3 linked regions of the Schizosaccharomyces pombe genome follow. The protein of the gene in region 1 interacts with the protein of each later gene in a biochemical or structural test. Each region holds a gene or a part of one and is shown in the gene's direction. Other genes may lie near its edges.

Region 1 (7,101 bases):
GCCTCCAATATCCTTAGATTTCAATATTCTTATGTTTACCAGCTCCGGTCTACATGTGCAATACTTAAGGGTCAGTGAACCTTCTAATAGCAAATACAAAAGTATTAAATGGGTAAGGTACTCAACTAGGGCTGGAACTTGCGAGATACGCATTTAAGAAGTATTGTGATACAAAATTATTATTTTATTAATTGACGACCGTGCTTTTCCGACATGAAAAGAATTTCCAAAATAGTTTTAGAACATTTCAAAATGAAACAAGTGGCGTTGAAAGTTTAATAGATGAAAGAAGAGAGGTTATAATGAATGCAATTAAACACCATACCGCTTCGATGAGGCATTTGAGGCTATAATTATGCTTTTGTAGGCATTAATGAATAGACGGAAACCAAAATAAAACATTACCTGGGAAATGAAAAAAATACTAATACTTTTTCTTTAAAAGTCTAGCGATTTTCTGTTGTGATTCGAGTATCTGCTTATCTTGTAACTTACTTAACTCTTCGTTCACCCGTTTCATGTCAACTTGTTCAAGGACCTTTGGATACCTGCTCAGGGTTTTCACATTAGAACCATCAGGAAGTAATTCACCCTCCTGCCAATCTTTCAAATCATTTGGGGCATTTGGGTAAACGAAAGGTTCTTCCATCTCAACGATGACGCGTTTTTCAGATTGTGGTCTCTTAACCTGTCCTAGTTGATTTCTAAAAAGTTTGCCCTGATAAATTCTTGACTTAACTGATACGACTTTTAAATTGTACACATGTTGCAAATAATCGCGAACATCAAACTTGTTAACATGAAGAGGTACGCGAAATACTGCAAATTTAGGTTGAAGATTTAGTCCTCTGCATAACGTGAACGTTATATTTGGAAAGTACACTAATCTTTTCCCAGCAATTTTACTCATATTTACTATTGAGTTTCAACTTCAAGGCTAAAGCAACTTGTGCTAGTTATGCAAAAAAAGAGAAACAAATGGTTTTTCTCAACAGTAGATTTCAAGATGAATTTGATGTCAACGGCCTTAGGTAAACGATTAGTTATTAACCATTTGTTGGATTACGGAGTTCAAATGTTGTTTAGTACTAACGTGCTGAGAATCCGGTTGCTTTATTGCATCAAAGCTCAGTTGTATACTATTAACAAATAACGTCTCTGGTTGTATTATCCTAGAACGTAATATATGTAAGCTACGCAATTTGGTATCTGATTTAAGGATACGTAGAACTGCGGTGAGTTTTCCTTGTGATCTATTATATTGTAATACGCAAGTAGTATAAGTAGGAATTGGATATAGGTATTCTAATATATAGGATATATCGTTATCTATAGCTGAGATATCTTATAACTGAACTGAGGAATCAAATTCAGTTGTTCTCAATTTATAACATTTGAAATAACAAGGATTATAACTGATAGTCATCTTATCATAAATGATATTATATCCTTCTAGATAACTTATCATGTAAAGCTGATAGAGCAAATAGAACATTATGAACATGTGACATATAGTGATACACAACGTAGTATATCGTAGCGTAGTGTAGTATTGCTGACATATAAAGCAGCTTATTTCAAGTTCGTTATAGTTTATTAAAATACGTTGGATTACTTATTTTTAATATAAAGAAACGCAGCAGAACAATTGAAATGAGAATGTTAAATCAAACTTAAGAAGGCCCTTTTGATAGTTGTTATTCATACGGTAAATTTTCTTGCCAGCGACACTAGAGAACTAAAAAATCAACAAAAGTGCAGCTCACTCGTCTTAAATGTCCGGATTCCAGACGTCCGACGAGGTCGATATATCAAATTCTTTAAAAGCTTTTCCTGTTGATATTGCTACTGATAATCAAAAAGATAAGCACGAAAATGTTGGTGAAAATGTGAGCGATGAAGATGATGGTAATTATATTGCCTCGAAGCTTTTGGAGTCTAACAGGAGGACGAAGGGAAAAAAGGGGAATGGAAAGGCTTCTAATTTCCAATCGATGGGTATGTTAACTTCGTGATTACTTGCCATAAGGTCACTTTGCATTATGCTTCAAGACACTGTAATCTAAATTACTTTGATATTTTTCTAACTTAATTATAGGATTGAATCAAACTTTACTTCGAGCAATATTTAAGAAGGGTTTTAAAGCTCCTACGCCGATTCAGCGCAAAACGATTCCCCTTTTATTGGAAGGTCGTGATGTTGTAGGTATGGCACGTACTGGATCAGGTAAAACTGCAGCTTTTGTTATACCTATGATTGAGCATTTGAAGTCCACTCTAGCAAACTCTAATACTCGCGCCTTAATTCTCTCGCCAAATCGAGAACTTGCTCTTCAGACTGTGAAAGTCGTCAAAGACTTTTCTAAAGGTACGGATCTTCGATCTGTCGCTATCGTCGGTGGCGTCAGTCTAGAGGAGCAATTTAGTTTGCTATCCGGAAAACCCGATATTGTGGTCGCAACTCCTGGAAGATTTCTACATTTAAAGGTGGAAATGAAATTGGAGTTGAGTTCAATCGAGTATGTCGTTTTCGATGAGGCCGATAGACTTTTTGAAATGGGTTTTGCTGCTCAATTGACAGAGATTTTACATGCTTTGCCGACTTCTCGTCAAACTCTTCTCTTCTCTGCCACACTTCCACGTACTCTTGTTGATTTTGCAAAGGCTGGACTTCAAGACCCGGTTCTTGTACGCCTTGATGTAGAATCCAAGGTTTCCGCGGATCTACAAAGTGCCTTTTTTTCTGTTAAAACCGCTGAACGCGAAGCTGCTCTCTTATGTATACTACAAGATATCATTAAGCTTCCTCTAAAAGATAACGTGCGCCCAAGAGAAATAGGAAATGTCAATAATCCGAAGAAAAGAAAACGTGCATTAGAATTAGCGCTTAAAGGAAGTGAATCTGGATCACCAGATTCTACTCTAGTATTTGTTCCTACAAAACATCATGTCGAGTATGTTTCTGAGTTACTTGTTCAAGCAGGATATTCGGTTTCAAAAATTTACGGGTCTTTGGACCAAGAAGCGCGTCTCAATGAAATTAATAATTTTCGACTTGGAAAAACAAATTTACTAGTCGTTACAGACGTAGCTTCTCGTGGTATTGACATCCCATTACTTGCTAATGTTATTAATTATGATTTCCCTCCTCAACCAAAAGTTTTTGTTCACCGTGTAGGACGTACAGCTCGAGCAGGACGCACTGGCTGGGCGTATTCATTGGTTAGAGCAGAAGATGCTGGTTATTTATTAGACTTACAACTATTTTTAAACCGACCTTTAGTTACATCCTCGAAGCAGGTTAAAACTGACTCGGATTGTGATTTTACAAAACAGATTGTTTTGGGATCATTACCCCAAGAACTTGTTGCTGAGCTACTAGAATGGGTACAAAGAATAGTTTCGAGAGACGTTGAGCTACAGCAACTTTCCAACGTTGCTGCAAGGGGTGAGAAACTATATTTTCGCACAAGAGCTACTTGTAGTGCTGAGAGTGCTAAAAGAGCTAAGGAATTGGTTGATAGCAAGGGCTGGAGTTCCAACAATCCATTATTTGGAGATGTATCGGTAATTGAGGCCGAGGAGAAATATGCTGAATTGCTTTCAAAAGTTTCTTCTTATCGGCCATCAGAAACAGTATTTGAAATCGGTCAGCGTGGTCACTTAAAGACAGAAGCTGCAGAAATCATGCGGAAAAGAAGAAACAAAGTAAAACCAAAAGGAATAAAATCTGAAGTTGCATCTGATAAAATCACTGACAGTTCTCCTGGTAATATGTCAGAAGCTTCAGAGTCAGAGCTTGAAGAGGTATTTAAAAATCCTAAGGAGTTATCAAAAAAGAAGACAACTGATTTTAAAGATAAAGAGTATTATATGTCTCATTACGCTCCAAAGGAATCTATTCAAGAAACTGGCTATGCTATAAATTCTGGTGAAAATTTTACTACCGCAGCTCGTCATGCTATTCTCGATTTAACAAATGACGAAGGAATTGAACAATCAAGGAAGGGGGGACAACGTTGGGATCCAAAGAAAAAGAAATTTGTTAATATAATTAACGACGAAGACGGGTCCAAAGGGTCTCCCAAGATAATTCGTGGCGAAAGCGGCGTGAAATTGCCTGCAACATATCGTAGTGGTCGTTTTGATGAATGGAAAGCATCTAAAGCATTCGGTGCCAACGATTCTCCTATACGGGAAAATAAGCGATATAAACATAATAAGTTACAGACTCCAAAACCAGCTGATAAGTTCCGTGATAACTATCACAAACAAAATAAACGTAATAGAGAGGCTAAAGAAAGAGGAATAGGTATTAAGGTGAACAGTGAGCTTAAATCAGCTGTTGAAATTAGAAAGGCGCGTGAGCTCAAAGAGAAACGACTTGCCAAAAACAATCGGCCGTCAAAAAAGCATCGATAATTTATATTTTTGGGTAACTAAATGCATGAATTTTTGCATCGGCGTTAAAAAATTTTAGTTTAGGTTTATTTACAACTGGGTAAATTATAAAATACTATTGTTAATATTTATTACTTGTTCTTATTGAACTAATGAAAGAAGGGGTAGGTTTTAAAGTAAACATTACAAATGCGCGTATATGCATACGTAGAAAGTACAATAACATCAGATTCAATGCGTCATTGAGTTTTCCATTTTTGCAATATAATTTCGCACTGATGGAAACGAATGTGCATACTTTTCGGGTAAGCTTTGAACACATTTTTTTAAAGATGTCGCCATTAATTTACTAGCTGGAATGGGGGGTGACTGGCTAACCATATCCTCAAAAATGTTGGTAAGTACATAATTTATGACACGCTCATTTTTACTTTCGAAGGCCAAAAGGTATACGTGATTGTATAAACGTTCATTGAAAACAACACCAGCCTTTCTAAGATTATCCCAACGACGCCAAACTTCGCTCCAACGATTGCTTTTTGCCAATATAAATTGCATGAGTAGAAACGTGTCAATAGTCATGGGTATTCCATAACGGTTCATAATCCTTTCCAAAAGAAATATGCGGTTGTCGAGAAAGAAGTTTGACTCCCCTTTAACCATACAAGAGCATATCATAAATTTTAAAAAAAGTAGTTTTAGTGAAAATGAATCGATGGTTTTTAGATCGACTAAAGATTTATACATTAGTGAAAGATACAACATCCGCTCACTAACCAAATTTTTAGAGTGTTTAGAAGCCATACTCAACTTTGTTGGAGACAAAGCTATAGTACTGAAAAGCGTATTGATATCCTTTGTAGTCAGTTGCAAAGAAGAATCTTTTCGAAGTCGCTCAAAAATTGAAAGAGTAAAATCCAAAGAAAAATTATTAGGATTTTGGAGATGCATTTTCTTATATTTTTCCAAAGTACTCGTCAGATTTTGTGAATTGACGTTTAACAAGATATCCTGGGTATCGCAATAAAGGGATGCGGCACTTTTTAAAGAAAAGTTACAAGTATGGAAACTTCTCCGAAATACGTTCGAGTGGTTATTAATAAAATTTGGAGGTAAAGAATTATCAGGTGTAGATTTACTAGTGAGTGAGACCCTAGATTGTTTGCCATGTTCGAGATCAGAATACAAAGTTTCATCCTTAACATGTTCAATATTGTCCAGTTTATAGTATTCCCTAAAATTTTTTGTAATTACATGAATGCTTATGCCGAAGTTTTCGATACTGAGACATGTCCAATTATTTTCAGACGTGTTTAATTGTCGGTTTGACAAATTGGAACGTTTCCTCATTCTCCGTTCTAAAATTTTTCTCCGAGATGCACTAGTAAGGCCATCTACGTTCACCGGTCCAACGTTTTTTTGTTTTAAAAGGCGAAGTAAGCCATTAGTAGCGGATACAACTTCAGATCCACAGTTGCAAGAAGCTAGTAAAATAAGATCTGAATCACACCAAAAAGAATCGGCGGGTGAGTTAACAAAACTGAGATCAGTGGCATAATACTTCTTTTTAAGAAGGTTTAACACATCAGCTAAAAAGTTTGGAGCACCTTTTGGAATAGGTGGCAGCGCAACCGCATCGAAATGCGCTTTTTTAGGAAATAGATTATGTTTTTCATCCACATACCATGGTTTTTTGCTTGAGACTTCCTCTGGTTGCGAATTAGCGTCATTACTTGAATTATCAGGAACTAAATTTTCAGGAAACTTTTGAGAAGCGAAAGGTCGTTTGTCAAATTTGCTTCGAAAAAAGGAAACACATAGTTTGTTGAAACGTAGATAATTAAAGCGATATGTGGGCATTTTTTAATAAAATATGAAATCTCAGCACAGTCATTAAAAATATAAGAATTAATATAATTGAAGTGTTACCTTATAAAGCCGAAAAAAGAATTTCTCAATGCTGTTCTATCACAGTATAACATGAAGACATTGTCTTCTGTTTGAATAGTAATAGATAAAACTTAGATTAAAGCAACAAAAATATTTAGTATGTTTTAAAACAAGACCGCAAATTATTAGGAGAAAACCAAATATTTAATGACCTTGGCACGTTTTCCTAACCAAGAGACCGATTCTAAATAGTGTTCCACTGTAGAAATACGTAATCACCAATATCCGAAATGTACGAACGTTTCTTATGTCAGCAATACTACATTACGCTATGATACACTACGTTGCGTATCACTATATGTCACATGTTCTAATTATATATCGTACCATTTATGATACGATATGGAAATTAATCTTAATGATAATCTATTAAGATCTATATTATCTGAATACTATAAATAGAGCTACTGCTGAACTCGTTCCTCAGTTCAGTTATGAGCTATATTAGTGATAGGTAACATTATAACCCAGTTAATACAATACCTATACTCAGTTGCTACTTATACAACCTGTGTATTGTAATATAATAGATCACAAGGAAAACTCACCGCAGTTCTACGTATCCTTAAATCAGATACCAAACTGCGTAGCTTACATCTTAATTGCATTTTCCCGTTTCGGTCTATTGCCTTAAACTTGTTTACGCTTTATATATACCGACGTTTCTTTGTTTTTAGATGAATGAATTTAATGATAAATACTTCCCTTTCTTAGCTTTGCAATGTTTTGATGCTTTTCGAGATGACACCT
Region 2 (7,338 bases), on another chromosome or scaffold:
TGTCGCTCAATTCAACATTATCGAAGGTGTTTAAACCCATCTCTCTATACTCATGGCCGAACGTACTTCAGAATCGTCAAGCGAAAGTGCTAGCTTCGACCTTGAAAAACAGCAATCCAATCATCATGATCGGTATCAATCCTCTGTCTCTTCGGAATTAGAAGAATCTCTCAAAAAATATCCGGTCATTAGCAATCCTCAGGATTTCATAGTCACATTAGACGGCCCTGATGACCCTGACTTGGCTGTTAATTGGCCTTTAGCCAAAAAGCTTCGTAACGTAGCTGTTATGGGCAGTGCGTGTTTGTGCGCCGGTTTTGGTTCTTCTATTTTCTCAGGTGCTGTACCCGAGGTTATGGTCAAATTTCACGTTTGTCGCACGGTGGCTTTACTGGGAATTAGTCTTTACGTCCTTGGATTTGCCTCAGGACCTGTTGTATGGGCTCCTATGTGTGAATTATTTGGTCGTAGACGACCAATGATTATTGCTGTATTTATCTTCTGTATTTTCCATATTGCCGTTGCGACGGCCAAAGATATCCAAACCGTTATGATCTGTCGTTTCTTTTGTGGATTTTTTGGTAGTTCACCAATTACGACTGTCGCTGGTTCCTTTTCGGATATGTTCAGTGCTCGAACTCGTGGTCTTGTGATTGCAGTTTACTCTGCTATTATTTTTAATGGACCGTTAATGAGTCCAATTGTTGGTGGTTTTATTGGAAAATCATACTTGGGATGGAGATGGACGTCCTACATTACTGCAATCATGGGATTCACAGCATTTACATCTATGATTATATTTCACCGTGAGACATATACCCGCACAATTACAGAGATACGAGCGTCCAAGGTGAGAGTACTTACTGGGAACTATTGCTTACATGCCAAATCAGAAGAAGAGCCCTTGGAATTCTCATACTTTTTCCACAAATACTTCACATTTCCTCTCCGTCTTTTAATATTTGAGCCCATATTACTTGTGGTTTCAACTTATACCGCTTTCGTATATGGTATCCTTTATGGATTACTTGAAGCATACCCAGTTATTTTTGGGGAGAGTCGAAAATGGAGGTTGGGTGTTGAATCTCTTCCGTATTTGGCTATTTTTGTTGGTGTTTGTATTGGATGCTCTAGCGTTGCCCTGTTCCAGCCCTACTATTTTAAAAAGATGGATGAAAATAAAGGAAGACCTGTTCCTGAAGCACGACTTCCCTCCATGATGATCGGTTGCATTGTCTTTCCCATTGGCATCTTTTGGCTTGCTTGGACTGGTAATTATCCATGGATTCATTGGATTGTTCCAACTTTGGCAGGTAGTTTTATTGGCTTTGGAATCATTACAATTTTTCAACAAACAATCAATTATATCATTGATTGTTATAGTGGATGTTCTGCTTCTGCAATCGCGGCCAATACATTACTTAGAAGTTCGTTTGGCGCGGCATTTCCTCTTTTTACAACCCAAATGTTCAATAATTTGGGAATTGGTTGGGCTGGTTCTCTGGTCGGATTTGTTGCAGTTGGGCTTATTCCAGTTCCTTTTATGTTGTTTTTATATGGGCCGAAATTACGACAAATGAGCAAGCACTGTCTAAAGGATTAATTCGTCATAGAAGTCCGCTTTTTAGTTGATTTGCTTGACCCTCTCTTTTCCAGTTTTTGTTTTTCTTATTTCTGTTATATTCATCTTTTTTATTCAGAAACCATGCCCGCGGTTTGTTGCCTTGGGTTAATGGCCTCAGCATTTACTTGTTGTTATTGTTATTTTCGTTAATTTAACCAGTTTGCTGCCGTTTAGATATTTAGAAACGATGGACTTTGTTTTAAATGATCTCTATTACCCGCTGCCTCTTTCTTTTGTCTTTTTGTGACTTCTTTAATAATTCATCATCCTCAATGATTACTTTTGTTGATCTCCGTTTCCTTTATGTTTCTGATCATCACAAAAAAAGTACCTTTCAAATAGACATTTATATTTATTGGTTGGTTATGAACCTTACATATGATTTCCGTTTACCATAATACATTGCTAAGACCTCAACAAAAATAACTGTTAGCACAGGCCATACTTGTCAATTTATTATATCCCGTTTTTATCAATGTAATTGAATGTTTTCGAGTCCAGGTCTTGCCCGTAGAATCACGGTTAGTGTGAGTAGGTAGTAGATCTCGGGCCGTAGGTGTGAATGCCGTAAAGCTAGAACATTATCTGAGAATTTTCATTTTAAGAACGCCGTATGTTGAGAGAGAAAACAGATCTTAAATATCCCTCTTTTCAACGACTCAAGAATTGTTTACATTTTTTCTAGCTATCCTGTCGAGATCTAAGAGCTGAATGGGATACAGTTATAATGGATAACGATATAAATTTGGAAGACCTTAACACATCTTATGGAATTCTAACGGCTGGGCTACTTCGGTAAAAGTAGTTAGTAAGGGATAGCGATGGGATGAAAGCGCAGGGGGTTCATATTCTATCAACTGCTGATATTTTTAGTGATGCCTTAGTCATTGGTATTCATATATACGGATTTTTAAGTAGTATTATTAAAATATTTATGGTACAGTAACGGAGTGTAAAGGTGGCTTCTCCTACTGGCGTAAAATAATTAGTAAACCATTTTCCCATTTTTTGTTATTTACTATATCGAAACGCTCTTCCTAATGCGCAAAGTTTCCTCGGTAGTGTGCTAAGACTCCACGGTGTTTCCCCGTGTTGATTTTCGCACTAAAAATACTACTCCATACCGTATTTATAACCAGAACAAACAACAACAACAACGAAGGAATTGGTGTATTCACATATCTCAGATATTTTAATTTAAGAGCTGGAGGGACATATCAGTAGTTTCTTCATACGGGGCAGCCAGCCATTTTGAAATGGGAAGTGACGGGTCGAGTTTGTCACCGAAAGTGTCACAACCGGGACACACTGAAATAGTTGACCATGTCAGTGAAAAGGTGATCACGAATGGAAAAAATGTTAATAAAAAGGTCAATGCTGAAGTAGACGGAAAAAGCATGGTGGAAAAGGTAAAAACGCACGAAGAAAATGCAGAGGACTATCACTATGGTGGATACCACCCAGTCTACATTGGTGAAGAATTTCATCACCGTCGATATGTCGTTGAAAGAAAATTAGGCTGGGGACATTTTTCAACGGTTTGGCTTGCATATGATCGAGCTGCCAAACGGAGAGTAGCTTTGAAGGTGGTGCGTTCAGCAGAGCACTATCGAGAGACCTCAATTGATGAAATTCGCATTTTGCAGAAAATTAGAGAAGGGGACGAAAAGCATTTGGGCAAAAAGCATATCATTTCTTTGCTCGATTATTTTGTGCATCGTGGTCCTAATGGAGCTCATGTCTGTATGGTATTCGAAGTTCTCGGTGAGAATCTTTTAAGTTTGATACAGTCATACGGCCATCGAGGAGTACCTGTGGGTATTGTAAAGCAAATTGCCTACCAATTACTCATCGCTCTGGATTACTTGCATCGAGAATGCGGGATCATTCATACTGATCTTAAACCCGAAAATGTTTTAATATGCATTGATCAGGATGCCTTGCAACATATTGAGGCACCTGCAACAACTTCCTCCCCCACTTCTAATACCTCTTCTTCAAAAACAAGAAATAACACTGGTTATACAGCCAAAGCTCCAATTATTAAACGTGGCCAATCTGTAGATAACTCTGCCCAAGAACGCAAGACATTTGCAAAAAATCCAACTAAGAATTCTAAGCCTGCTGGCCAGGTCATTCCTAGCAGTCCTTTTACTTCCACTTTGAGCCGCTTTCCTTCATTAGAAGGTGCTGTTTCAGAAATCAGCCTTCGTGACTCTCAAAAGCATAATTCTCATCCTAATTCTCCGTTTTCTAGTGGAGATAATTCTCTTATACTTGATGGTGTTAACGGTTCTCAGGAACCCGTTCCAAAAATCACTGTTAAAATTGCCGATCTCGGTAACGCGTGCTGGACACGGAAGCATTTCACCAACGATGTGCAAACCCGTCAGTATAGGTCTCCAGAAGTAATTCTAGGATGTCGCTGGGGAGCTTCCGCTGATTGCTGGAGTTTTGCCTGTATCATTTTTGAATTGCTAACCGGCGATTACCTTTTCGATCCACGGAATGGGAATTCTTATTCTAAGGAGGATGACCACATTGCCCAAATTATTGAGTTATTGGTTAATTATCCTAAGCAAATGGCACTTTCAGGAAAGCACTCCCGCGATTTATTTAACCGTCGCGGTGAACTCCGAAATATTCATAAATTGAAGTTTTGGCCTTTAAAAGATGTTTTGGAGCAAAAATACCATTTTTCAGCCGAGTTGGCTCAACAAATATCAGACTTTTTATCTCCTATGTTATGTTTTGATCCTGCCAAGCGAACCAATGCTGGTTACATGAGCAATTCTCCATGGTTGCGCGAAGTGGCTGATCCTACGTTCAAAATCGAGACTACTGGAGCAACCGGTGAAGATGTACCCGGATGGGCTACTGAAATTCGTTAGTGTTTACCTTGATATTGGTTTTGAAGCGCTAGTAAATGATTTTTTTTTATATATAGTTTTTTTTTGCGATATCGTCCCTTTTTTAATTTCCCACCATTAGCGTGATTGCTTTAAAAAAGCATGACACCTTTCACTCTGAAATGGGTTACGTATGATTATCACGATTCCTTCTTTTGATCAACATTTACTGCACTGAAATTTGAACGAAATTTCCTTTTACTTAATGAATATTTAAGATATAGCAGGGTTTAGGTCAGCTGCTTTTTAAATCATATTATGTTTAGAAAACGCATAAAATAAAGTTTTGTCATTCAAAAGGAAGTTAATTGGAAATTGGTAACTTGTAATGTCACATATTAATATACTGTTCAGAATGCTGTCGAAAGAAGGAACAAACCGATGGTAAGATAACTCATTAAGGAACCATTAGATTAAACCGTACCTTTATTTCTCCTTTCTTCCAGCATTCGTTTTTCAAATTCGGTATTAAAATACTTTCTATCGCAGTCTAAAATAAATCTGGCACAACTTTCTTTGGATTCTTGAAGTCTCTTATTTGACTCACGGTATTCATCTGCTAAAGAAGAAGAATGAGGGTCAATTTGGGGTGGTTTTTGAGGACGGCCAGAGTTTTTTTGGGCTCGTTGGAAGTCAACACATAATCCAAGTAATTTTTCCGTTGTATACATATTACCAATGCAAGTGTGAGGCTGATAATGCATATATAGATCGAGTATATCCGCAATCACTGCTTCCGTTAGTGCTGGTGGAGCGAAGAACGATCTGGGAATTATAGGTTGAGGAAGTTGCTGTAACTTGCAAGCAATAGAAATCGATGCGACGGCAACAATATGGGCTGGATATTTTAACATTGTGTATGTTTTATAAGCATCAGTGCAGACATTCCAAGCTATACTTGCCGTGGAAGATGAAACTGAAAGTAAATTAGTTAACTCGAAAATTATAAGGTAAAATGAATAGCAGTCATACATTTCAGTGATTTTGCAAATTTTACCATGTAATTGTGTGGATGTCGGACTCGAAAATCGAAACAAATCAATTCCAGTGTCATTCTTTCTAAACCTAGAATCCTCTTCTTGTTCTCTTCGATTAGCTAATACACCTGTAAGCAAGTCTCCTTATAAACAAAAAACAATTATTGCGCACCTTGTAACATACTTGTGAATGAGCATCGACCTCAGAACCTGGATGCTTTTGAAGATAATGTGCTAAAAGAATATCACGAAACTTTTTGGCCGTATCTTCGATTTTACTAGCAACTACTAAGCAAGCAGTAGCGCACTCCTAAATGTGTTAGTTATTTTTGAAAGAAAAAGAGCCTAAATCAAGAGAATATGATGTTTATAACTTGGAGTAGCTGAGCTAACATTATTAAAAACTGTAGTCTTTTTTAATAGTATGACCAATGTACAGCATTCAGAATATTCTTATATCAGAATACGTAAAATTTCAAATAGCACAGCATACTCATGTGCGAAAGACATCCAAATAACATACCAGCAAAGGAATTTCATTCACGGGAAAAAATAGTTGGAAACGACTGTATAAAAGCATTGCAAGGCCGCTGGTCCTTACAGGGCTAAAAAAAAGTTAGATTCTAGATAATTTTGAGGAAAAGCATACAATTTTAAAGTTTTTGAAAGTGTTGATATCCAAGCGAACGCCTGCATTCGCAAATTATTTTCTTTGGGATCTCGCGTCGACAAAATTCGACTTATTTCTTTTTCTGAATAGTATGGGTGTGACATTCGTATTGAAAGTACATGATTCTCATTTTCTGCCATTTTAGCAGCTAAAATGGTGCTGGGTTTGTGAAGGCCTGGCTTTACCTGCAAGGTGCAAGTATGCTGAAGTTAAGCGATTCCTTTTAAGTAACGCATTTTATCATGTTGTATACTGTAAATCAATTAAAATAAAATAATTTTAATTCAGCAATTGCAGCTCGAAATTATCATGGAAATGTTCGCAGTTATTGAATTTGTAAATTATGACAGTCCTGCGTGCTATTGTAAAAGAGTTATGAAATTACTCATTTCTAAAATAAAATGATTGTTTAACCTTCGGAGTGTTCGTCGTTTAATTTCTGAAAGTAGCGAACTCCTACACTACAACATGATTTTAGTAAATTAGTTATTTAAGTAAGGAATAGAGACGCTATGACCTTCACGCCAATTTGTCTGTTAATTAAAATATTTTTTGCATTTTTTTTTGTCTAATGAAACAGACATTTCGTCAAATTGAGCTATCATAAGAAAACATTAAACATCTAATAAATTCATATTTTCCTAATAATTCTATCATTTTGCATATTCTTATTAACTAATTAATTTTTGCGATTATAAACGCCAAACATTTCCTGAAAGCTTTCCTTTCAATCTTTTAAAGTGAAACTCTCTTATTTTTTTTCTTATTAAACTAGTAGATATAGGATGATAATATCTTTTAATTATTTATACTATACATTGCTTCATTATTTCAGCAATTTTTACGTTCATTATAATTTAAATTCTGCTGCACAAGAAGATATGTATTTTCACTTCTTTATTAATGATAATTTACCATGCTTAGTACATGAGAAAGGCCCACAACTGAATAATTTTATGGTGATACCAGGATTCAATTTTAGGATGGTAATTTTAATAATAAATAAATCATAGAATTGAACCATTTGAGTGTTGTCATATGCATTTTTTTAATCTCTTAGGGTTATTTTCTATTCCAAACATTTCAGATAAAAAGATCGTTCACAATTTCTGCAAATCCAGACACTGCCTTTTGAGAATTTAAAAATATCCAAAAAGT
Region 3 (8,695 bases), 260 kb from region 1:
CACTTATGTGTAGATGATAAGGAAAAGTGCTTTATCAATTTTTCACGAATTATGAAACCCATCAGCAATCATGTTTAATGAAAACATACCCAAGGTTGACATCAAGCAAATCAGCAGATCGTCAAAACTGTTACGTTTTATTTTACCTAATGTCTCTTGGCAATCTCTATCAATCATCGATGACAAGTATTGTGAAAGATGAAAGATGATTAGTAATGATCAATCTTGATATTTTAAAAATCTCTCCCATTCACTAATTTCTGGCTAATTAATTAACTCACTACACATCTAGTATATCGACGAGTATCCGGCTTTCGGGTATAAAAGAAGAGCATGAAATTCCACGAAAACAAACTTAACGAATCATTCATTAGCGATGCTACAAAACAATATACTGTTGGAGTTTGCCGCTCGGTAACAAGAAAATGGCATTCATAACAACGACCCATTCCAACCGTAATGGGCCATACTGAGTTTTTCTGTGGTTACTCAAAATCGTTGATCAAATTCATGGTAGCTGTTTCTTGATTCACTTTTACTCGGGACTTGTAAAGCCGATTTTCGGAAAAGTGTGATGAATAAATGACGCTGTCGGAAACAACTGGTATTTTTGGGTTGGCGAGTAGGTTATTTTCTACAAAACATACAAATAATACAATACATTGCTAGCAAAATCAATAGTGCATATATAGTACTAATAACAAAGAGTATTTAAAAAACAACATATCGATTTAGCAGAAAAAAATGGGAAGGAAGGTATTGAAATAGAGGATAGATGGCATGGCTCATTAAATGTAGGAAACCAAAGTAAGGATGACTGGTTTGAGATTATTTCCTTACATCCCGTAACATGCAAAAAAATGCAGCAATTTAACACGGTGGAGGGAAAGTATCGAATTTTTTTACTGGTAAATGTAATATATTGGATTGAAACAACTCCGCTTGCCATTATTAAATAAAAAATAATTCTTTTCGTTAACTAAAAAGTGAAATCAAAATTAATTTAAAAAAAAAGAAAAGTTAAAGGAATACTATGCTACCAATATTTCCCTCGAGTTTATATTGATAAAGCATTTAGCTAGGCTTACAAATAAGTTGCTTGCTTCATATATATCTTATTACCTGTTTGATAGTGAAAAACAATATTCAGCCCCAACGGTTCGGTTCCTTTTTGCTTAATTGTACTACCACACAACACAATACAAAGCTTAAATCCTGAACCTAGGAAATGGGTATGCGGTCCGTTCAACGAATGTTGAAGTTGCATCGTCCTAGATAATCCTAGGAGCAAAAGCTTTGATTGCTTGCTCAGCCTTTGCTATGAGAAAAAGGAGTCGATAACTTGAGAACACAGCGATCGGATTTCCCTTTAAAGATGGAAGATTCATTTGTTACATAAGAAATTCATGTCAAAATGATTTCTGTTTACACTGCGTTTTATAGATGTTACTATGTATAGCAAGATTAATTAACATGTTATTGTTATTTGTTATTATGTTTTTAATACTATGTATTTATAGCATCTGTAATGTCTGCGTTTTTCAACTGCCAAAGAGCGCATTTTCTACAAGTTTCGGTTAATGTTGCAAATAACCGATTAGACTTTCATGTCATGACACTTGATTTCACTTGTGCTGACGCTTTTTTATGAACGGCATATCGCTGTTCAGCTGCTTTACCGACATGTAATGGCCAAATCTCGAGCTTGACACTTTGTAAAAAGTCTCAATAATAATTCCCCATCCACAACTGACATACATAATTGATAGTACTTACTAGCCTTTACCCTTGCCAGCCAGACAGCTTCCACTGTACTGAGGTCAGGGATCATGACATAGACTGATTGCAAATTACGAACAAGACCGTCAATCTGCACTTTAGCATCTCCTAAAATAATAATCGTTAAAGCCGACTAGCTATTAGGGATGACGGGAGGAGCAAAAAAATAGCCTGAAAAAAGAAAAAGAAAAGAAAGCGTATTTAAAGAAAGGTTAAAATTTTCTTTGTTCTTTCAATAAGTAAGCAGTTTACTCCTGGTCCAGAAGTGCGACGGACCTTGCGTGCCGGTAAGGAAGTTGCAAAAAAAAAAAAAAAGGAAAAAAAGAACCGAGATAAAGTTGACTTTCAACTTCCGTCTGCAGTAACCGGATTTCCCAAAAATTTCAACGGGTAATTCAATTATGCAAGGGGATTGTCATTCTTTTTTTTACATTTTTGAGTTTCACGACACATTAGTCCCTTAATTGCAGCTACAACCATGCCTTGTTGCCTATTTTTTTCCTTTGCTTAATTACAATTTCTCACCCCATTTGAAGTCATGTTGATTGAATTTTTCACATCCCGTTTTCAAGCTCTAACATCAGTCATTGTAGATGATTGATTGTAGAAAATTATATTTGTTTCCTTTTCGCGACCATTAAATGATTATTCAATAGTTGATGAATTATTGCCTTTGTTGTTTTGTTACTCATCATGGCAATTTTATCGTATTATTTGTTACATAGATTATTGTCATCCACTAAATTTTTTGATGGCCAAGCGTCGCTGTTTGGACGAAATATTCGATTACCGAGGACGGATGGCCATAATCAAGACTAGTTTGGTAAGAGAATTTGGCAGATGGGCTGGACGACATTTGTTGAAAGTGTGAGAAACGCTTCTGAAAAGGCATGTTTTCTATATTTCATTTCTATTCTGGTAAAGAATTGTGCGGAATACTATACCATGGACAAATGGGGCGGGCGACAAGGCAGCTACAGTATAAGCGGGCATATAGCATTCATTGTATAATACAGTATATAGTACATGGTAGGTAGAGTTGGATAGAGATGGTGAGAATGACAGTTGCATTATTTATGCGTAAAACTATATGTAAATTTTATAACTATTTATGTAAACATGCGTTTATATATGTGTATGAGTGTGCATGCTTGTGTACATTTGTGTGTGTGTGTATGTGTGGTGTGTATTGATGTTTGAATGGTATGATGACAATGATAAGCCATTTCTTACGAAAACTCCTTAAGTGAATATGGTTGAGTTGAATGGAGCGGCATTTGAATGGTAAATGATTAGTGATCTAAATTAATGAAAATTCATTCAGCGCCTCTGCCTCTACGGCCATGGCGGTTTTCGTAGATCTCAGCCCTTCAGAGTAGCAAGCGTCTCTTACGCTATAGTTGGGTGACGGCTAGGTACGTTGCATACTGCGCACATGGTGTTGTGGAATGTGTATACTTTTTCATAGGAAGGAGGTGCCAAACGCAACGCGCCTGGATGGTGATTGTTGGGTTGTTCCCTCGTCCGGCCAATTTTTTCCAGCTATTTTATTTTAAGGATAGAATAACAATGATGTTGTTCCGGTCTCACAAACATGATTATCTCATGCAAATTTCACCTTTTCTAAGTGGCTTTACCAAAGAAAACGCAACTTATTATTATCCAAACTCTTGCTAATTCCTTTTTACTTTCTCCACATCCCTCGAATTGGCTTGAGGCTTTTTCTTTTATCCTTTCTATCCTCAATTACTAGTTTTCTTAGCAGTTGTATTATTAGGACATTGCTTTGTTGTTTTACCCCCCCCCCATTGGAATTACATTCTGTGGGATTGAAGGAAAGAAAAAGAAAATTGCTTATTAAGAGTCGTATATACTTCATTCTTCAATTTACTACACTCACTACTTGCTTTTCTCCATCTACGATCTACCATTTTGTTAGGTAGACTTTCGTACTACAGCTACATCGCTTGTCGTCGACTTTGTGTGCTTTTGAAAACTGCCCTGGTAATTGCCGATTCTTTTGGGGGTTATTTATACTTTTGTTTTATCCAAATTACTAATCCGCCTGATTTGGACATTGATCAATTTTGGTAGTAGCGCAATCGCACCCCCTCAAACACAAAAACCTCATCATTGTCTCATGGTACAATATTGCCTTGGAACATCATTACTTTAAAGCAATACGATTGATACAAAGGTTTCCGCTAGTTGTTGATTGAAGGTTTGGTGTTTATCGTTTTTTCGTGTTTGATTTGCCTTTACAGACCCTCCGTGTTCGGCATACTTATTCTCCGGTATTGTAGATATTTATTTCTCTCCGATACCTTTTTGCATTTGCTGTTTCTCTTTACTGTTGCACCCTACATTTGATTGAGAAAGGGGTTTAGTGGTTGTCGTCAATTGTCTTTATTCTGAGAAAACGGCTTTCTTCTCCCTGATATAAGAAACCATTTGGTTTGATAAATATATTTCAAGTTCACTTTCTCACTGTTTTCCGCTTCTTTGCTGATTTATCGTTTGATCGACGGCCTTGCAATTTTACAACGTCGAGAATTTTAACTTCTTTCTTCGTGATTGCATTCAAATTTTGAAACTCTTTCGAAGTAGGTGTACCAGTTAACTTGATTGCTCATTCTTCCTCCCATTCTCTGCTTCTTGATGAACTAGCTGTTCTGGTCCAACACCAATTGTCGAATGCTTGTCAGTTCAGTTCTATTGCTTTAATTCGTCCATTTTTTATTTTTATTTTTTAAATTCCGCCTTTCTATTTTGTTCTTACCCTTCGACGAGTCGAAAAAAAAGGTTTTTTATTGCTTTTGTCGCTTGGTGACTTCGAACAAGGAAACTTTTCCCCTTATTATTGTTTGAGAAACACTTATTTTCGGTGGTTGGTATCTCTTTTCATCATTTTTGCTTCTGGTTTTGCATAATTCTAAAAGATACTTATCCCTTTTTTCAGGTTTCGACGTCTTCTACCTCTTCACTTTACCAATTTGCTCGCATGACTTAGACGGAATCTTTTTATTGTAAAATGCATTCCTTAAAACGTCGTAGAAATCATGCGCCTGATTGGCAGGACTTTTATAAAAATGGTGTTCCACAAGAAGTCATTGTTATAGAGGACTCAGCTTCTCCACGGCTTACCCCTAATTTACCGCCTCCTTTTTCTGTTCATCAATTACAATCCTTCGTACCTCCGCAACCTCCCTCATCATCATCACCCTCTACCACTGGCACTGTGGCAGTCCCTATCAATGGTGCGAATGCTGTTTATCCATCAACTAACTCGGTATCTCTTCCTCAATCCTATGATCCATGGTTGGATGCTAATGGCGTCGTTCCATTACCGCATGATGTCGCCAGCCATCCTTCATATATGGTTCAGTCTCCTACATCGTATCATGCGTGTTCAAATAATCAATCGCCATTTCCCCATTCACATCATCCTCCCCTTCATAATCCACTACCTGTTTCATGTCAACCTGTTTTACGGCCGCCTCCTGTCCCTCAAGTTCCTTCACACTGGTACCCGGTTTCGCTTCCCTCTCCTAATTTACCTCACCAACCAATTTCTAAACCTCCAGTGATCCCTAATTTACCAAAGCTCCAAGTCCATCCGAACAGGCTTCCACATCCCATCCATAATCATCCTTACTCGTCTCCAACCTCTTATCCTCCCCCACTATGTCCTGCAACGTATTGTCCTTCTAACCCTCCTCAGCTAGCTCCGGCTACTGCTATCGCTCCTTCCTCGCAATCGTCTCAACATAAAAGTGTAAATTATTCCGTCACCCCAAGTTCCATTAACAATCATACCGCTGTACCATTATCTCCAACGCTGGCCGTATGGCTTCCGATGACTCAACCAACTTTCCAACCTCCTTCTGCAAACGTTTATCAACCGGCTTCTAATGCCAATCAAGTTATCACTCCTGTATCTATTTCCGATTATCGACCTCCGAAGAAAAGGAAGCGAGCTGCATGGCCCCCATATAAAAAAGTCGACCGCGTAAATGTTCCTGTTGTGCATGATACTACCGCTTTTGATCCATCAACTTTTGATGATGATGACGGTCATTACAAGGTTGTACCTAACTCCAAATTTGCCAACCGTTATACAGTTGTTCGTTTGCTTGGGCACGGTACTTTTGGCAAAGTTATCCAGTGTTACGATCAAAGTACAGGTAGACATTGTGCTATCAAGGTGACTCGAGCAATTCCAAAGTACAGAGAAGCTAGTCTCATTGAATTAAGAGTTTTACAAACTATAGCTCATAGTGATCCGACAAATGAAAATAAGTGCATTCAGTTACGCGATTATTTCGATTACCGCAAGCACATCTGCATTGTGACTGATCTTTTTGGCTGGAGTGTCTTTGATTTTTTAAAGAATAACAACTACATTCCTTTCCCTTTGAAGCATATTCAGATGCTATCCCAACAACTTTTTAAAAGTGTTGCGTTTCTTCACTCTTTGGGACTAGTACATACCGATCTTAAACCCGAAAATGTTCTTCTGGTATCTAATGCCTCAAGAACTATTCGATTACCTTATCGGAATTATTCACAGAAAGTCCTTAATAGTTGTGAAATCCGGCTTATCGACTTTGGTAGTGCAACATTTGAAGATGAATACCATTCCAGTGTAGTGAGTACTCGTCATTATCGTGCTCCAGAGATTATTTTAGGGTTGGGTTGGTCTTATCCTTGCGATGTTTGGAGTATTGGATGTATTTTAGTTGAGTTATTCACGGGACAAGCCTTGTTTCAAACCCATGAAGATAGTGAGCATCTGTGCATGATGGAAAAAATCCTGGGTCCCTTTGATAGGAATATGATTTCGCGTTCCTCTCGTACATCGCAACGTTTTTTTAAATCTGACGGAAAAGTCCGTTATCCTTTGTCAAATACGCCTAAAAAAAGCATTAATTATCTTCAATCTCTGCAAACGCTAGAGCAAATATTTGCAGTATCATCTCCAGAAGTGGCTTTGCTGCTTGATTTATTGAAAAAAGTATTCGTTTACGATCCTAAGCGGCGAATAACTGCAAAAGAGGCCCTTTGGCATCCCTTTTTCACCCAACCAATTTCTTCAAATTTGTGATGGATAAACTTAGAGATTTATAATTTACTTCATGTTTTTCAATAATTTTCACTCTTTCTAATTTACAAATCTACGGAAGTCTCGTATTTCTGGTTTGTGTTACGCTTTAGCTGATGTTTATTCGTTTGTTATTATTCAGTTTCTTAGACGAAAACTCGCATGTTCTACAATTACTTTAATTGCATAGAGTACTTGGTTATCCGATATAAATTAAAACTCAAAATTGTCCTCTTTTTAGATTATTCCATAAAGGTTTGATTAAGTCGTCAATTACACTCGTAAATTTTGGTCCTTGGGTTAAATAGTAGTTACTCAGTGAAATAAAAGAAAAAAAGATCATTAATGGTTTTCAGGACTATTTTAATAGATACGGATTACCTTGACAATTTTTTTGAAGTCTGAAGTATTTTGTTATGAACATAATTGTATAATGAAGAAAAGGTTTGCCCATTTCATTAAACAACAGAGATCACTTGCCTGAGACCCAATTTATATAATATGAGACAATAGCTCAAGTAGTTAGAACTTTAAAGGATCCGACTCCTCTTTTAAATTTTCCTCATTAAATAGATAAGCCAGAGGCTTTCCAAAATAACGAAACAATGAGATATCCGATATTTTAAGAGTCATTCCATCAAACGCCAAAGCTATATGTAAGTCTTCTGTCGAAATATCAATGTCTGGTAATTTGGGATATCGTTGGCTAAAATGAGTCAAAATAACGTTTTTTGTACCAGCTTTTTTGGCCACTTCTAAAGCTTCAGAGTAAGTACTGTGTTGCTTTTTTATTGCAATTTCGTGCATAGAGTCTTCCAAAGTAGCTTCGTGAATTAATAAAGTTGAGTCTTTGGCAATGTTAGCAAAATCCTCAGAAGGTCGAGTATCTCCAGAGTATGCGATCTTCCAACCACTGGAATTAGTAATCTCCATGCAATATGAATACGGGCAGTGTATGGCAGGAACCGTTCGAAAAGATACTAAATCAAATTCTTTAAATAAAGAAGACAACCTAGAGGATTCCAAAGCAGACGGCTTCCTGTCAGTACGTAAAGCACTATTGGAAATAAATACGATGTTGGATAATGGTAGATAATCAATCCTTGAGTATTCTAGTAGCCAAAATTCAAATTGTGGAGGTGCTGTTATAAACAACTTTGATCTGCCATCTGAGTACTTCGTCCAAGCCTTTAAAACCCCTATAACACCAGCATGATGGTCAGCATGCATATGGGAGATATAAATCCATCGTAAAGAAGCTATTTCGTATTTTAAATTGTCACCATACTGCCTCGATAGACGTCCCAAAGTGCCCTCTCCACAGTCCAAAAGTATGTTTTTCATACTGATAGCTGAGTCTTCCATACATTTTTTGTCAACGGGAATTCTAACGTAAGTAGATGAAACATTTCTGTATAAAGAAGGCATTGCAGATCCAGTGCCAAGAGTACAAATTTGGATGTCAGAACCTGCAAAGCTCGGTGCCTTTGGTTTATCACTAACATATTTTTGAGCTTCTTCAACAAATGATTTATAATCTGGTTTCTCTTTCAAAATTTTATCCTTCAACTCTTCAATCGAAACCCCAACTTCCGAATCGTCAATACCAGTTTTTTTTCCAAACGCAAAACGCAGTTTGGGTTTGGCAAAAGCAATTCGATTGTTTTTTTGTACATTTTTAACTTCATAGCAGTTAAAGCCTAAAGGAAAAACTTTTGAATCTAACAAATTAAGTGTTGCAATAGCGACTGCACTCCTAGGATAATTTATTACTTCGTTTACTTCAGTCGAAGCAATTAGATGGCTCACCTCACT

What was found.
Region 2: of the proteins of dbp10 (region 1) and dsk1, one has a biochemical effect on the other in vitro, tested with the Schizosaccharomyces pombe proteins (one large-scale study listed by BioGRID).
Region 3: of the proteins of dbp10 (region 1) and lkh1, one has a biochemical effect on the other in vitro, tested with the Schizosaccharomyces pombe proteins (one large-scale study listed by BioGRID).

Annotation. Positions count from the first base shown.
Region 1 is NC_003424.3:396,869-403,969, reverse strand, and holds dbp10 (ATP-dependent RNA helicase Dbp10), read left to right. Parts: upstream 1-1,723; 5' UTR 1,724-1,775; coding exon 1,776-1,998; exon of another isoform or gene 1,999-2,098; coding exon 2,099-4,422; 3' UTR 4,423-4,508; downstream 4,509-7,101. Other genes in the region: AP-2 adaptor complex subunit Apm4, read left to right, coding at 1-157; mrp20 (mitochondrial 54S ribosomal protein uL23m), read right to left, coding at 425-910; ATP synthase complex assembly protein atp25, read right to left, coding at 4,633-6,261; adherin Mis4, read left to right, coding at 7,081-7,101. UniProt on the Schizosaccharomyces pombe protein: ATP-binding RNA helicase involved in the biogenesis of 60S ribosomal subunits and is required for the normal formation of 25S and 5.8S rRNAs.
Region 2 is NC_003423.3:823,356-830,693, reverse strand, and holds dsk1 (SR protein-specific kinase Dsk1), read left to right. Parts: upstream 1-2,761; 5' UTR 2,762-2,880; coding exon 2,881-4,515; 3' UTR 4,516-4,946; coding exon of another isoform or gene 4,947-5,449; 3' UTR 5,450-5,505; coding exon of another isoform or gene 5,506-5,629; 3' UTR 5,630-5,694; coding exon of another isoform or gene 5,695-5,820; 3' UTR 5,821-5,889; downstream 5,890-7,338. Other genes in the region: SPOM_SPBC530.15C (spermidine family transporter), read left to right, coding at 53-1,603; lsc1 (Lsk1 associated cyclin), read right to left, coding at 4,947-5,449, 5,506-5,629, 5,695-5,820, 6,034-6,115, 6,160-6,320. UniProt on the Schizosaccharomyces pombe protein: May play an important role in mitotic control by altering cellular location, degree of phosphorylation and kinase activity. Abundant expression accelerates the exit when cells are in M-phase and also delays the entry into mitosis when cells are in G2.
Region 3 is NC_003424.3:654,948-663,642, reverse strand, and holds lkh1 (dual-specificity), read left to right. Parts: upstream 1-3,465; 5' UTR 3,466-4,810; coding exon 4,811-6,883; 3' UTR 6,884-7,402; downstream 7,403-8,695. Other genes in the region: 3' tRNA-processing endonuclease tRNAse Z L2 Trz1, read right to left, coding at 7,403-8,695. UniProt on the Schizosaccharomyces pombe protein: Protein kinase that may act as a negative regulator of filamentous growth and flocculation. Appears to have a role in normal cell wall and septum formation and in cell separation.